Stegostoma tigrinum: one gene and its partner. The protein of the gene in region 2 interacts with the protein of the main gene of each other region in a pairwise test. Links are inferred from orthologs where the notes say so. Each region holds a gene or a part of one and is shown on either strand. Other genes may lie near its edges. The genes, in order: nrap and klhl41a.

Region 1 (8,698 bases), on a different chromosome or scaffold from region 2:
TGCAGAATTATGGAGATCACAAGTCAATAGCCCACTTTACATACTTCATAATTTTTACTTGCAATATTGAATACTTGAATAATCTGACAATATGTTAGGCTGTAGCTGCCCATATCTCTGTAGCTGACTTTGCCAAGGTTTGTTGAATAATGTGGTGGACCAACAATTTTGGAAGCCTTCAGCAAACCCACCCATCCACACAATGGTCTCACATCAAGTCTTCCTGGCCTCATCAGGCACAGATGCACCAAGCATAGGATTATTGCCAATGAAAGAGGGCTTGTAATGTGGGAATTTGATGCCCTTGTCCCTAACTCACACAACCTCTTATTCTGATGGCTTGAAAAGGATGTTTCAAGACTCAGCCCTGCAAGACTATCCTGAAAATTAGCTAATGACCATTCTCATGAACTCCTATCAACATTATGGCAGGAGTCCAACAGAATAGTCACAGATTCTTGGGGAAAAATATAATTAAATATTGATTTTGTTGCATATGACACTTAAGTTTTACAATACCTTCAGGCTGCTTACCTTACTTGCAAGTCTCCCAGCCTTACAGGCATGCTCCAGCTGCTTCGACTTTATATCCCAATGAAAAACTGATTTGAATTTTTCAGCTTCCTCGCGATACTTAATCTAAGTACAAAAGTTCAGTGGACATTTTATGATACTGGATTTTAAAACCGACTGTATCAGCACTTGGAAGATTTAAGCCATGGGTAATGCAGCTTGTGAATTTGTTACTTTTTTCCTTTATCTTTCCCACCTTTTTACTGAATGTTTCTTAATTGTTTTTCTTTTCCTGGTCAGCCTCTTCAAAGTTCGATATTTTCACATCAACAACAATCAAAAGCTTCTCGTCAACTTCTCATAGATTGGGTCCCCTCCTCAAGTAATACAGGAATCAAGTTGCATGCGTTAAGGTGAACCAGCATTACAGGGCTGAAAGCAAAAAGTGCTGAAGATCACAGTAGGTCAGGCAGCATCCATGGAGAGAAAGAACACTCACATTTTGAGTCTAGATGACTCTTCATCGGAGCCGAAGATGAAGAGTTATCTAGATTTGAAACATTAGCTTGCTTTCTCTCCATGGCCCAGTGTGGTCTCCAGCATCTTTTGTTTGCAGTACTGACTCCAGCATCTGCAGTAATTCGCTCCTACAGCTTTACAGGGTGACAGGCATTCAACACAGCTTCATCTTGTCCTTATTATCATCACAATAAGTACATCATGGTGTCCCAAGAGATTAAGTATGAAAGTTCACTCCAGACTCACGAAAGCAACAAGAAGCTGCAGATTGGCTAAATAAAGAACAGTTTAAAGTGTGAGATAATAAGAACTGCCGATGCCGGAGTCAGAGATGACAGTGTGAAGTTGGAAGAACACAGCAGGTCAGGCAGCATCAGAGCAACAGGAAAGTTAATGTTTCGGGTCGGTTCCCCTCTTCAGAAAAAAAACAACAAAGGGTTCCAACCCAAAACATCAACTTTCCTGCTCCTCTGATACTGCCTGACCTGCTGTGTTCCTCCAGCTCCACGCTGTGTTATCGCATAGTTTAAACTGTAGTGTTTAAGTTTCTTTGTAATTGCACAATATGTGCAGCTATCATAATATGCACACTTTTCTTTCTCTTTCTATGCAGTATCCTCATTGTCCAAGGGTTTCTAAATCGTGGTTCATGCTAGATGCCAATGGGTAAGGCAAGCCCTAAGAATGATCTCAGTTGCAAGTGAAGTTGAACCTACATTATATACCATTCACTGGCCATCCAGCCAACCAAGTTAACAAGCAAAACATGTTCAGTTACTGGTATCAATCAGAATGTATGTTGAATAGAATAACAGGTTTGATTTTTCTTTTGTTTTTAAAAGTTATCATGAATAAAACCTGGAAATTTAGGAACACAATAGGAGAATGGTTTATGCCTGTGGAATCCTTATATAAACTAAAAGCACAAATTCTCCATGCTACTGAAGTACAAATTCTACCAAAATATTGAATTCAACAAGGCAAGACTAAAATCAAAATAAAATGTTGGGATTTCAGAAGAAAAATAACTTGATAAATTTGATGATGGCGAAGTAAAGGGAGTAACTATCTCTGTCTTGCAAACATAACATTAACAGTACAAACATCCATCCATGTGCCTGACATGACAAGTTAAGACTTAAAAAGTCAGTTTGTATATCTTCAAGACTAGCTTATTAAGGGTCAGTTTAATCTAAAATGTTGCGGAAGTTGTGTTCAATAACTTTGGACCAATTTGTCACTCGTGATTAAAAGCAACAGAATATGGTGCAGTGCAGGGGAAATGGACGGCCAGCATTTAGAGGACTGTAATTTTAACCTCCACATGAAGTTGAAGCACAAGCAGCGAGGTGTCACAGTTGCTGTCCAGAAATAGATGTTGCTGTAACAGGCTTCATTCCAAAGCCTAGTTGTCACCAAGATTAAAAGAAAATATATCAAACACTCTGCAAAACATGTGAACCATATGAGATCTAGGTCATTTAATCATTAGTTATGGTTAAACAACTGCTTTATCAACTGAATTGAAGTGAAAGAAAAACATGTTGTACTTAGGGACAGGCTATTCAGTCTTTTAGTTATGCCCGGTGGTCTTGGATGATGTATTATGAGAATAATATGTACTGCTCCCATTTTTAGTGCCAGTTACCCACCTCACTGGACTCGCTTTGTTTTTTCACATTCAGGTTCAGGGGTGTATCTAGTACGCTGGTAAATTTGTTGACTTTAGGATTGTGCCTGCGAATTAAAGTAAACATTGCCACCAATTTACAATCAAAAAAAAATCAAATGAATTTTCTACTAATTTCACTCAGGTTGCTGCAGACAGATATCTTCAAACATACAGAGTGCTCCTACTATGAATAATTTTTACAAGTGTTGTCGTATAAATCTCTACATCTAAAATCAGACCAGTGACACTTACAGTGTTCACTGTAGAAACAGAAGAAATATTCAATAACCTTGCATTTTTCATTGTTCCATTTGAATATATTTAAGTGTAAATTAATATTGAGTCATAAAAGCCCTTTAGTACGATTGGTCCAACTAAGTTTTCATTAACTTTTAAAATGACTCACGCCTGACAGTATGGTTTCTTCTGGTGACTGATAAAATTGTTGACCGTTAAGATCATTTTGCAGACCTCACAGTGGAAACAGGACTTATGCCAGGTCTGTAGGTAACAAAATAAACACTTTATTAACCGGGCCAAACTTTCAATTTTAAACACATATCTGACATTCAAGGAAATTTCAGCATCACTCACCTGGTCTATGCAGACTATTTTCTCGGCAGGATAGACGCCAAAACCACAGCGAGCGCACGGTTTATTCATTTTCAAACAGTATTTTTGTTATTCAAAAGCAAGCCGCGATACGTTTCCTTTTTATTTCCTTCTCCGTGGTCTGTTTCTGAGCTGTGCTACTTGTGATCTCGCCTGGACTAGAACCTGCCACCAGCAGTCAGCCCCTTCATTTCAGGATTAATCAAGTCCCGCCTCCTCTCCTTGGCCATTGGATCCAGACACCTATTTCTAAGCTCTGAACTCCACAACTCCAGTCGACTTTGGTTACCAGGGCTGTCAATCACAAAGCTTGTATCAGGTTTAAGTTTGGAGGGTGACTGGTGTTTAATGCCTCAGTCCCAAAATAGCAATATTCCACTAAATATGTATTGATGTCAGCTATAAGGTAAAAGGGGACTGGCAACATTTTATCAATCTAGATCATCAACTTTCCAAAAGCAAATCAACACTTTGCAGCACAAAATAAAAGAACGAACTGAGGATGCTGGGAATCCGAAACAAAAACAGAAATTGCTGGAGAAACTCAGCTGGTCTGGCGGCATTCATGGGTAGAAAAGAGTTAACGATTCCAGTCTAGTGTCCTTCTTCAGAATATCGGATTTTCCTTGCAGCACAGTGTCTGTAACTGTGAATTTTCTGTTGGCAGTCCAAAATATTTTTTGCTGTTTAAAGCAACACAAACTGTTACGATGAACAGCTAAGGATCCTGGGATTGTATTCATTAGAGTTTAGAAGGTTGAGGGGAGATCTAATAGAAACTTACAAGATATTGTATGGCTTAGAAAGGGTGGACGCTGGGAAGTTGTTTCCGTTAAGGGGGGACTAGGACACGTGGGCACAGCCTTAGAATTAGGGGGGGTCGATTTAAATCGGAAATGGGGAGACATTTCTTCAGCCAGAGAGTGGTGGGCTTGTGGAATTCATTGCCACGGAACGCAAAGAAGGCCAGGACGTTAAATGTCTTTAGGGCGGAGACTGATAAATTCTTGATCTCACAAGGAATTAAGGGCTGGGGGGAGAGTGCAGGGAAGTGGAGTTGAAATGCCCATCAGCCATGATTAAATGGCGGGGTGGATTCTATGGGCTGAATGGCCTTACTTCCACTCCTATGTTTTATGGTCTTATGGTCTTATGTATTACACATTGTTGTTGTCATACACATCTTTAAAAATAAAGTGAGTGTACATCATAAACCGATTCCTTTATACAGCTATACATTTGGTTATCAAGTGGATGTTTTCACAAATGTACAATCCTGCATTGATGTTGTTACTGACAAGGTTATGAACACCACCACACATCTGCCTGGAATGTCATCTCCACAAAATCAGCCTCAAAACATCAGTAAAGGCAAAGATAACACAGTGTGGAGGTGGAGGAACACAGCAGGCCAGGCAGCATCAGAGGAACAGGAAAACTGACGTTTCGGGTCAGGACCCTCCCTCATTTTCTGAAAAAGGATCCCGACCCGAAACGTCAGCTTTCCTCTCCTCTGATGCGGCCTGGCCTGCTAAAGGAGGGTCCTGAAGCAAAACGTCAGTTTTCCTGCTCCTCTGATGCTGCCTGGCCTGCTGTGCCCATCCAGCTCCACACTGCGTTATCCACACTGACTCCAGCGTCAGCAGTTCTTACTATCTCTGAGTAAAGGCAAAGGGCTGAGAAAAGAAATAAAACTGGTCCCAACAACTCAATCCCTGACAGTATTCAGTTCTTAAAAAACTTTCCATTTATATTCTACAGTGATTTCATCACTGCCCTTAAACTTAACCTGATAACTGCTTTGTATGTTCAAGATTTCCATAACATTCAAGGCTATGGGCCTATTACAGGAAAGTGAGACTAGTGTAGTTGGTAGTATGTTTTTGGCAGTACAGATTTGATGGGCCAAAGGGCCTTTTCTGGACTATATGATGCCATGATTCTCCCATGTTAATACTTAGGCGATGGAACAGAAAGTCACATATCCAGATTTACTGTTGGCATAGGGATGGATGGCACTATAAAAATGTATTGAGAGTTAAGTGAATGAGAGAAACTGTGGCAAATGGATTTAAATGGATTTGAATGTAAGAGTTGTACAACATCTTCCTTTCTAAATGGTGAGAAATTAAAAATAATGGATGTTCATAGAAACTTGGGTGTCTAGGGTAAATAGATCATTAAAATACCTTGACAGGTGCCAGACTATAAACAAAAAGGCTAATGAATATTGATCTTTGTATCTAAATGATAAAACAGGGCAGAAGTCATGTTTCAGCTTTACAAAGCCGTGATTAGACCACATCTTGAGGAAAAGAACTGTTCTGGGTATTACATCTTAAAAAGTATATAGTGAATTGGAAGGAAATTGACCAAAATGATACCTGGGCTCCAAGCAGTAAATTACAACATAACAACATCCCTTGGAACCAAAAAGGTCAAAGGATGGTTTGTTCTACATTTTGAAATTCTGAAGGGGAACCGACAGAACAGATAAGGAAAAATCATTTTGCTGATTGGAGAGTATATGTCAAGGCAGAATAGTCAAACAATTAGTGCCAAAACTGAAAATAAAATATACTTTTACACATCAAGGGTGTTTAAAGCCACACAAACTGTATCATACATTGTTGTTTGTGTACATGTCTTTAAAAATAAAGTGAGTGTATATCGTAAATTCAAACATGTTTGGAGTATTTTCCTCCAAATAAAAATTATGCTGGTGACTTAATTAATTTTAAGTCTGAGATCTTTTTTCATCACCTAAAGGTGCTAAAGATCAGAGTTGCCCTGCTGATCAGCCATACCTTAATTAAATGCTGAAACAAACAGTCTCAAAGGCAGAAGAGACTCATCCTGATTCTATATGTTCCTAAGTGATTAATAAAGCTGCTATTTCACTTTAAAACACAAATGACATCAATAATCTATTCAAGATCTATGTTCATATTTTGTGGCATCAGTATAACTCTTTACTCACCAGCGGTCTATAGTGCTGCACATATGTCATTCTTAAATTCTTTCTCAAAGAACTAAAAGGAATGATTTTAGAAGTTGAATACATTTTAACTTCACCACTTATCACAGAGGCTAAAATAAATCTTGAATTAAAGTGTTAAGTATGATAAATCTGAGAATGTTTAGAATTATAAATTGAATAAAATCACCAGCTGTATTATCTCATCAACCTGTTAAGACCTGGAGTAGGTAGTACTTGAATCCAGGGTCTCCTGGTCCAGAGGTAGGGGCACTACAATGTACCACAAGAGCCCATTCACCAGTAAATACGCTATTTTTAATTCGAAATAGCGGATGGTAATTTAAACTCTGTGATCTAATTATGGAACTCAGCTGATGTCCATGGCTTTGATTTCATTGTCTGATGTCATCCAAACTCCTTAGTAAGTTACTGCCTTACATTTCATTGCCTTCCATCTATTTTTATATGTATATAGTTAAACTAACATTGCTGTACTTTTAAAATGATTGAATAATTAGGAAGATGACAAGATACACACAAATCAAGTTTACCTGATTGCTTGGCATGAACGTGTATGTTTCGACAGAATCTGCAGGATAGGACTTTAAAGATCAGCGTTGGAAAATTATAATATGGTGAATGGTGGTCATTCTAATGTTGTTATTAAAGATTCAGTTTTTTTCCAATGTGCTTTCAAAGGATTCTAATTAGTATAATTGTAGATGCACATTTCTTGGTGAGAGGTCAGTATGAGACCAGCAGAGACTGAATGACATCAGTGATTCTGCAACATCACTTCAGTGCTTAAGATGTGAGCAACTGACTTTCAAGCATCAATTTTGTGAATGGCAATGCAGATGAACCATCTGTTATTACTTATATTTTGAGGGTGAATGCACATTTTGGAAACTTGTAAATAGATAAAAGTTTTAGCAAAGACGATGTTAAGAAAGCACAATTGTTGCTCACAGATGCAACCACTTACCAACAGGTGACAATAGACCCAACACTGCAGCTCGTTAATAGGATCACCCAGACAGAGGAGACGAGAGGATGCAGGACAGATAACTAAGACAGACCACATGAGAATGAAACCAGAAGGCACAAATACTCCCCCACTTCTATGGGCGTCCTAAAGTACACCAACCAGATCCCCCACAGACCCATTGTTTCCGTATCAGACACATCTTCACACAAACCGGCCAGGGACCTACAGCAGACACTGAAACACCTAGCCGATGTTGGATCATCCTATTCTATCCATTCAATCCAAGAATTCCCTCAAGAACACAAAAATCAGCAACAAGAATGCGGTATCCTTTGATGTCACAGCTTTATTCACATCAATCAACATCCCACTAGCCAAAGAAATACTGGCCACATTATCACTGGAAGCAGGAACGCAGACCAGCAGTTCCATCAGCAAGGGCAACATACCCTCAAACTATTAGATCCATGCCTCACCACACACTTCGTCTTTAATGAGCAAGTACACAACCAGATCAGCATTACACCAATGGGGTCACCCATCTCTGCACTCACTGCAGAAGCAGTCATGCAAAGATTAGAAAACACAATCCTCCCCCACATTCAACCTAAACTGTGAATCCAGTACGTAGATGACACATTTGTCATTATTAAACACAACAAGTTAGAAGAGAACCATCACCTCATCAACAGGTATTCACAGGGATTAAATTCACAAGGGAACAAGAAAACAACAATCAACTTCCACTTCTGTTCGTCAAAGTTGAGCGCATGACCAATGGGGAATTCCAAACCTCGATACACAGAAAGGCAACCCATACTGATCAAATCCTCAACCTCCATAGCAACCACCCCAACTACCACAAATAAAGCTGTGTTAGGACACTACTTAAACAGGTCACGACACACTGCAACACTTCAGAACTGAGCAGCAAAGAGGAAGAGCACCTACAGATATGGTCAGATATCACTCCAACTTCATCTGCAGATGCCTACTAAATAGACAACAACAGGAGTGCACAGAACGCCCTAACACACTGGCCACACTGCCCTACATCAGGAAAATATCAGAACCGACAACAAGACTCCTAAGACCTCTCAGAATCATGATAACCCACAAGCCCACAGCCACTCTCAGGCAAACACTACGAGGATTAAAGACATCATTCTGACAACATGCAGAACCAATGTTGTTTTACAAAATACCATGCAACGACTGCCCACAAACATTACATCGAACAGATAGGAAGGAAGCTAGCCAGCCATCAGAATTCCTGAACATCAGCTAGCAGCAAAACGACACGACAAATTCTCCTTAATATCAGTACACTCAAACAATGAAGGCCATCAGTTTAACTGGGACAATGTAACCAAAGTAGCCCGAGCCAAACATACACTTGCGTGGGAATTCTTAG
Region 2 (8,071 bases):
GTTAACAACCTCTGTGGAATGATCCTACAGTCCCACCATTGCAGCATCCAAATATTTCTGAAAATATTGTACAATTACTTTGCCTCCACTACTCTTCCTGGGAATCAACTGATGTATTGATCACTCTATGTGAAGAAATATATGGACATCAACAATTTTTTTTTTATCAATTTAATACTGTGCTTCTCGTCTTTCACTCATAATTGCAGATTCCAGCAACTTAACTTTCTTAAATGTTAACAAAATCACATTTCCAGTATGTTTGATATTCTGTTTGATTATACTCACTTATTATTCATTATGTCATATGCTTCAACTGCAGCTGCCAGGCCGTCATCAGTGACTCCTCCAACAACCCAGATTCTGTTTTGATGGAGAGCAGCTCCAAACATGGCACGTGCTGTCTTCATAGCTCGCAGTTCCCTCCACTCAGATTTTTTGGGATTGTAGACAAACAATTTGTTGATGCATTTGCTGTGGTTAAATTAAAAATGATTGAGTAAATCAGTCATGACAGTCTAGAACTAATGCATAATATAGGAAATGTATGAATTACTTACGCGTCATCAGTCTTCCCGCCAATAACATAGATTAATCCATTATGTGAAACCACAGAGTGGCCATAAATCTTAAACGGGAATGCTTTGGATTCATTCCATTTTAGTTTGCTGAAAAAAAATGCATTTTTTTAAATTGTATTCATCATTCTTCAATGTTTACCTGTTTTAAAAATTACGTTTTTGTTCATGAATATGCTGAAAATTGCAGAAGGTGATTGCCTCAAATAATAGTGGAACGACACCTTTAAGTTTTAAAATAGCCTAAACAAGCCATTTCACAGTGCCATAAATACAAGGGCCGTACAAGTGTCATTTATCACTGACAATAATATTGCTGTCAATTGAAAAGACATTCTGCATACAATTGAGCAACGTGTATACATAAAATCAGATTTTTTTTTGGAAATGCACAGCAGGTTCTTGCAGCATTTGTGGAGAGGAAGCATTCATACAATTGTCCTGAGTGGTGGAAAATGAAAACTTGGAGCAACTTGTCTCTGGCTTTCCCAATATTGGAATTGAAATTAAATAACGTGAAATCTTTCGACACTACATTCGTTGAAAACTCACCTGAACTCAAAGCTAAACTCTAATGTGCAAGTCTAATAAAACAATGAACATTGGACACAGGGGATCTAAGTGTCTTGTTCAAAAACTGAACAACAGAGATGATATTGGGTCATCATTATCTGACGAATTTTCCTATTCTGATTCTAATCATGCTTTGTGAATGTCACATGACATACAAGTTACAATACTGAGATAACACGGTGTAGAGCTGGATGAACGCAGCAGGCCAAGCAGCATCAGAGGAGCAGGAAAGCGGAGACCTTAGGGTCTCGACCCGAAACGTTAGCTTTCCTGCTGCGATGCTGCTTGGCCTGCTGTGTTCATCCAGCTCTACATCTTGTTATCTCAGATTCTCCAGCATCGGCAGTTCCTACTATCCTTGCAACAAGTTACCATTGCAGTCTGTTCCCAGAACTGACTCAACCAATATGACGGTAGGTCTATTTAAATGAGCTAATGGAGGGTAAACTATTTTAGACGGGACCTATAATCTCATTGACAGTCCTTGTATTCTGACTGAATTTGATATGCTCACTGTTGGTATTAAATTATAACTGTAATGGCACTGAGTGGTATACTGTACAATATTTCTGTGAAAGCATGGTTCTGATTAACTATACTGGTTTGGAGCAGCATTTTGTTAGAAGTTGCTACAAAATAATTTAAAAATAACATTTTGTTAACATGCAAATAATCTGGATTTACTTACTTCATATCGTAGCAAAATACTGAATCCAATGACTGCTCGTTTGGAAGATCCTTGCCACCAATCACATAAAGAAAGTTTTCTGTTTCTCCCAGACCGAAGAGGCATCTAGCTGAAGGCAGCGGTGGCAAGCCATTCCATTCACTAGCGATACTGTCAAACTAAAGCGTCGGAAAAGCCAGTTTAATTGTGACCGATTCTCGATATATTTATATCAAACGTATTCAGAAATCCGATGAGATTTGATAGGAATTTGAGGTGGAGCACGCAATTCATAAAATTATCATATTTTGCACAATATCTATTTTTAAACAGCAGGGAAGAGACTACATTGAAATGGAAGTAGTTGCTTACATTTTTTAAATAAGTAAACTTGGAATGATTTTGAAAATTGGTGAACTAAATTAACAATTACAATCACGTTTTCTGAAACAAAGCTGAACATATTATATGATTTCACAGTTCGATAGATCTACGAGTACCTGATAGAAATAGCAGTGGTAGGGCTGTTCTTTAACTTCTTCATCCACGTACAACCCACCGACAACAAAAATTTGGTTTCCCTTTGTAACCAAACTAACATGGTTTTTGGGGATCTGATCACCCACTGCAACCAGAAAGCATTGATTTAGGTTTGGATCATATGCCACCGCCACTGTGTCATTAATTAACATGATCATTTCCTTGACGAACATGCCATGCCTGGGAATGTCATTCAGAAAACCAGGGAGCAGATCTTCGTCTCCTACATCGCCGTTAGCTAGATCTTCACCGCCTTCTCCTTTCTTTGCGCTCTTGTTACTACCTGCCTCAGGCTTGGGAAGTTTTCCTCCAAAAGCATCTTTAATCACCTGCACCTTCTTCAATAGATCTGGATTAGACTTAATAATGTCATTTTTTTCGACCTGGTCTTTGATATATTTCTCAGTCATGAGACGAAAACGAATGCAATCAAAGATTTCTCCTAAACTTTTGACCCTGGTCTCTTTGTCCTTCCGGACCCATCTTACTACAGCTTCAAATACAGTTTCTTCTTTCACCACGTTTAAAGCGTCATTCGCAATGATGCTGATAAGCTCATGAGAAGCCAGTTGCATAAAATCTTCATCATTACAGATTTGTTCAAAACGAGCGGACGCATATTCACGGGCAGCAACAGCAAGCCGGGGACAGTCCAGAAGGAGTCCTAGCCTGAATATCGCCAAACAGTTGCTAGTAGATAACTTTTCTTGAAGATAGGTGACACAGAGTGTGAAAACAGAGGGGATCTGAAAGCGGCTGGACGCAGCAAAAATATTTTGCACGTTCTCATCGGTCAGTTCTATCTCAGAGGAATACAGATACTTCAAGATCATATCCACGACACTTTCATCGACATCTTCCAAAACCACCTCACGTTTCTTTTCCTCACTTACATCTGAAAAGAAATACTCACGGAAGTAAGGGCTGCAAGCTGCCAGGATTAGTCGGTGGCAGGGAAATAATTTATTTCCCACCTTCAGGGAACAATCCACAAATTTGTTTTCATCCAGTAAATTTTTCAGTCCGTCCTGCAGCAGCGTGGTTTGGTACAGCCGAGATTCTTCCCTTGATTCTTTCCGAGGGTCCATGGTGAGGAAACTGCGAAGGCAGAGGGAGCGGGTAGCGTTCACTTTACTCGGGTTCGCCTGAAAAGGCAGAACGCAGTGGCTTGCCGCACTTGAAGAGTTTGTAATTTAACTCCACAGGCTAAATATAGAGACACCGTACATGCTGGAATCCAGGTTAACCAGTGTGGAATGTGGACCGCAATTTGGCAGCTGCTGCAGACGGAAAGAAACAACTGTGAAGGAAAAAAAAATTAACGTTTTGGGTCGGGTGACCCTTCCTCAGAACGGCAACTTAGTTTTTGTTCCTGATTTACAGCATCCACAGTTCTTTCGGATTTTATTTTTATGAAACAACCGTGACCAGCTTAGGAGTTAAACGGGATAGGCAATCACTATCGGGAGCGATTACTAAGGAAATTACATTTAGTTATTTTTATCATATTGAGACAGCGTCATGGCTAGTGTGTCTCACAGCTATGAATATCACAAATTACGGAATCAACCCTTCCACTAAATTCTCAAAGAGATTCTTCAAATCGCAACTCACTCATTCAGCTTCCACCATTTAATCACGTGTTTTTTTTGGGTTCTGATTCTATTTTTAAGAATTCCAAGGATCGATGTCAAAATTTTCAAAATAAATTTAATGGCACAATGTTATAGTCAAATTATGACTGCATTACAAGTTAGTACAACAGTATATAATCTCTCATACTGCCATTTTAAATCACACGTCTTCATATTATTTGCACATTTGAAGGGTATGATTTCGTTTTTATTATGGGTAGAATGGATTTCTTTGTCAAATATATCTATACTTCACAAATATTTCTTAAAAACAAAAGGTAATTGACGAATTTACATGAAATGGAAACAAAATCATTTCCCACAACCTATTTTGGAACTAAGAACTCACCTTGGGAATATTTTAAACTTTTATAAATCCCAAACCCACCTAAGAGACGTGATTAATTGCTCGAAAACTGTGCTTATGATTACCCTGTTTTTCCTCAAGTAACTTTCACAGTGGAGTCTTTTACAAACAAGGTCAACTGCTGAACAGGTGGTCATCATTTTGGCTCACGGCCGTTTTTAGATTTAACATTTGATCAACCTTATTCATAAACTGAACATTTGTCTCAATGTGACTCATTTCCCCCGCATACCATTATCTTAGTATCCTTAAAATTTAGCAACTGTATGATATAACTGTTATGAGAGTAAATATTTTATAATTTGGTGGTCAAGGGTATAGTTAGAAGATTGTTAATAATGGAAATGAATAATTTATTAAGTGCTATTAACTCAGTAGTTCAAATGGAATATGTCGTCTTTGGATCTTCCATATCATAGGAAAATACTGCAGATGCTGGAGAAACTCAGCAGGTCTGGTAGCATCTGTGAAAAGTGAATCAGACTTAACGTTTCAGGTCCGATGACTTCTTCGGAATCGAGTTCGGAATTGGTCTCTAAACCGTTCCTCTCTCCACGGATGCCGCCAGACATGCGGCTGTACTCTGTACTGAACAATGAGCTTCAAAGATTAATTTTCTTTTCCAAGTCATTGACCATCAATGATTCCCCTTCCATTAATGGTTCAGCCTAGTCTTGTTCTTCTGTACACTCTTCCAACCGACTCTTCATCTAATGTATCAGATCTGTCATGTTGTCAAGACAGCTTTTGCTACTCTCGTTTATTGCGTGACAGGAGTTTGGGTTATAGTCAGCAAAATGCAGAAATTTTTCACGTAACATTATCGTTGTATTCTTGAAACGTGCAATTTTTACATGAAACTAATACAAGTGAATCAGACTTTCTCGTTAAAGCCAAAGTAAAAGTTGCAGCTAATTTCTTAGGACCTTCACAATCATTAAAAAAAATTATACCCCTTTTGTTAAAATATTTTTCATTACTACGATCCTGCGTTGGTAAAAGAAATGTGGCACATTCTATTTACTTCCAGCTCATCACCAGTCTTGCTTCATGAACCTCAGACTTGCTAAACATCCCACTCACGTTCTGCTGCTCCCTTAGCCGGCCCTCTCACTCCAACCCACCAGACTGTTGGCCTCTGCCACTCTCTGATCCGCCTCACTTCCTCTTTGATCTTTATCATGGAAAATCCTATTCACCCGTTCTTTTTCGTGGATCCTTGCTACGAACGAGCGCTCTGGACGTGACCAGCGAGTGAGAGGAACAGCAGCTTCAACTGCATAAGTACCTTGGATATCTGCATTCCTCTGATTTTGACTCTACACTTAGCAATTTTCTTTGCTCCACTATTTACCGTACCTGCAATTGCATCGTCGGCATGCTTTTGAGATTCCACCTCCGCCAATTTTAAACCTCTTTATTCCCTCAAGGCGTTTATCACCTACCTCTTTTATCTATCCTAATATCTCTTAAGGTGCCCCAGTGACCTCAAACAACAAATTCTGTTTGAAAATCGAACTCTAAGGTGTCTTAGGGCGTCTTGCTACTAAGGAATTGAACTAAAAAATACTGTTTTTTCTCACTATTATTGAACGATGCTACATTTGATAATTGAACACCTAAAGATAACCTGGTTGTGATAAATCACATCATAGTCATATTAAAAAAATGCCTGACGTATGTCTCAGCAGATATGAAATTAATAAATACAAAAAGTGTGCAGATACATAAGATGTAAATAAACCAGTGGCATTTATTAGGATAGGGTGGATTTAGAAATCTTAAGTGCGCAGGAGGTAATTCATGGAGGAAGACTGACACTTACAAATACCACCTATAATCTGAAATTTTAATTTATATGTTGTTTTTTGCTTCTCAACAGAGGGTACATCAGTGCTCAGGAAAATAAAGTATTTCCAACTTTTCATATCAATAGCAACATTCCATATCCCTAATCAGGATTAACACGAGAAGCTTCATATTGAACATCTCTCTATTCCATTCCAATTCTGTGCCAGGAAAAGCATTTTTGGTTATGATATTTTGTCTAATTTCCACACTAGTTATTCCTCTTGCCTCAGAACATTTCCACTTGAAAATCTTTCAGGATTCAAATTCTTAACAAAAGGTCCACAATGCAAATGATCTTAATATAATATTGTGGGGGGGAGGGGTGACAGCCTCACGATATTATCGTGAGATTATTAATCCAGAAACTCAGCTAATGTTCTGGAGACCCAGGTTCAAATCCTCTCATGGCAGATGGTGGAATCTGGATTCAAAATAAAAAATGTGCAATTAAGAATCAACTGATGACCATGAAATCATTGTCAATTGTCGGAAAAACCCACATGATTCACTAATGTCCTTCAGGGAAGGAAATCTGCCATCCTCAACCAGCCTGGACTTCATAGGACTCCAAATCCACAACAATGTGGTTGACTTTCAACCACCCTCTGAAATGGCCTCGCAAGCCACTCCTTTCAAGAGCAGCAAGGGCCGGGCAATAAATGCTGGCCAATCAGCAACATTCACATCCCACGAGTGAATTAAAAACAAACTTCCCTTGCAGTTTCATCTCAAAAGGCCACACAAAAATTGTATTATCAAATCATTAGGCCTGAAATTATTCATTTATTTAAAAATGGGGAAAAATACGCTTTGTTATCTACTAATTCCAGAGAATCACGTGGCTTTGATGTGCCTATTTTAAGAATGCAATTTAATTGCCATGTTGTTAATATTGAAAAGAAAATCCTGATGCCATATCACTGGAACAGTGCAAAGGTGCATGAACCTTTTCAAAGGACAATCCTGCCAAAATATATTTGAGACATTAACACATGCTTTTTATACAAGGAACTTTTTTTTAGCAACAATGACATACTGATAGATGCAATATTGGCGTGGATACGTAAACAGTTTTTATGAACTTAGCATTCTCATAAAAGCCCAGTCACATCTCATCCAACAATATTTAATGTTTCTAAGATTTTATTTTACAGAATATGGAAGGTTTCTTCAATTAATTGATTGCTTAGGGTATGCACTCTTAAGTGGAGAGGGGATAGAGTATGGTGGTAAACAGCACATGCTCTGGAAAAATACAGAGCAACTTCTGAATTTCTCCATTATTCTGCGCATTTGCAGGCTCCCAAAGTTGCGGTACGTTTCACAGGAGTAATGATGGCAAATGCATGCAATTTAACCATGACCGCCACTACAAAATTCAAACTGATAAAAGGACTGTGCGGCAAGTTAGTGTCCCTTGGTTGAGGTTACTGAACTATCATTTAGTAAGAGAGCGAAATGTCATTATAGCTCTATTGCAGTGTATTTGTTTTTAAATTCAAATTTCATGTTAATGTTCAGAATGCAAATCTATAATTCAAATGATCAGATTTTTAAAAAAAAGTCTTGCATTGGTCCGTCCAATTATTGCCTGAATCAGATAAGGATTTCCTTCTATTAGTACTCCATTTCCAGTAAAATCTTTGGGCAGAGCACTTTTAGTATTAATCAGGGTTCTTTCGCATTAGCTAAAATCTAAATGAGTTTAAGCTTTAAAAGACAGCAGATATTGTGGTGTTGGCCTTAAAATATGGCATCTCCAAACTGGGTTGTTAAAGGTTGACTGTTAAGGGTTATTTGGACATGGCAATGAGCAATTGAAGAGTGGAATGTTACATGGAAAGCAAACCTAATGCAAAAA

The links.
Region 1: the proteins of klhl41a (region 2) and nrap interact in binary tests that used the Homo sapiens proteins (3 or more experiments, as listed by UniProt). The link is inferred for Stegostoma tigrinum from reciprocal best matches to the Homo sapiens genes KLHL41 and NRAP.

The regions. Positions count from the first base shown.
Region 1 is NC_081373.1:23,885,120-23,893,817, reverse strand, and holds the start of nrap (nebulin-related-anchoring protein), read right to left. Parts: upstream 3,491-8,698; 5' UTR 3,368-3,490; coding exon 3,299-3,367; intron 3,206-3,298; coding exon 3,111-3,205; intron 2,770-3,110; coding exon 2,685-2,769; intron 640-2,684; coding exon 535-639; intron 1-534. UniProt on the Homo sapiens protein: May be involved in anchoring the terminal actin filaments in the myofibril to the membrane and in transmitting tension from the myofibrils to the extracellular matrix.
Region 2 is NC_081360.1:50,273,198-50,281,268, reverse strand, and holds the start of klhl41a (kelch-like protein 41a), read right to left. Parts: upstream 3,577-8,071; 5' UTR 3,447-3,576; coding exon 2,319-3,446; intron 1,998-2,318; coding exon 1,840-1,997; intron 669-1,839; coding exon 561-668; intron 475-560; coding exon 289-474; intron 1-288. UniProt on the Homo sapiens protein: Involved in skeletal muscle development and differentiation. Regulates proliferation and differentiation of myoblasts and plays a role in myofibril assembly by promoting lateral fusion of adjacent thin fibrils into mature, wide myofibrils.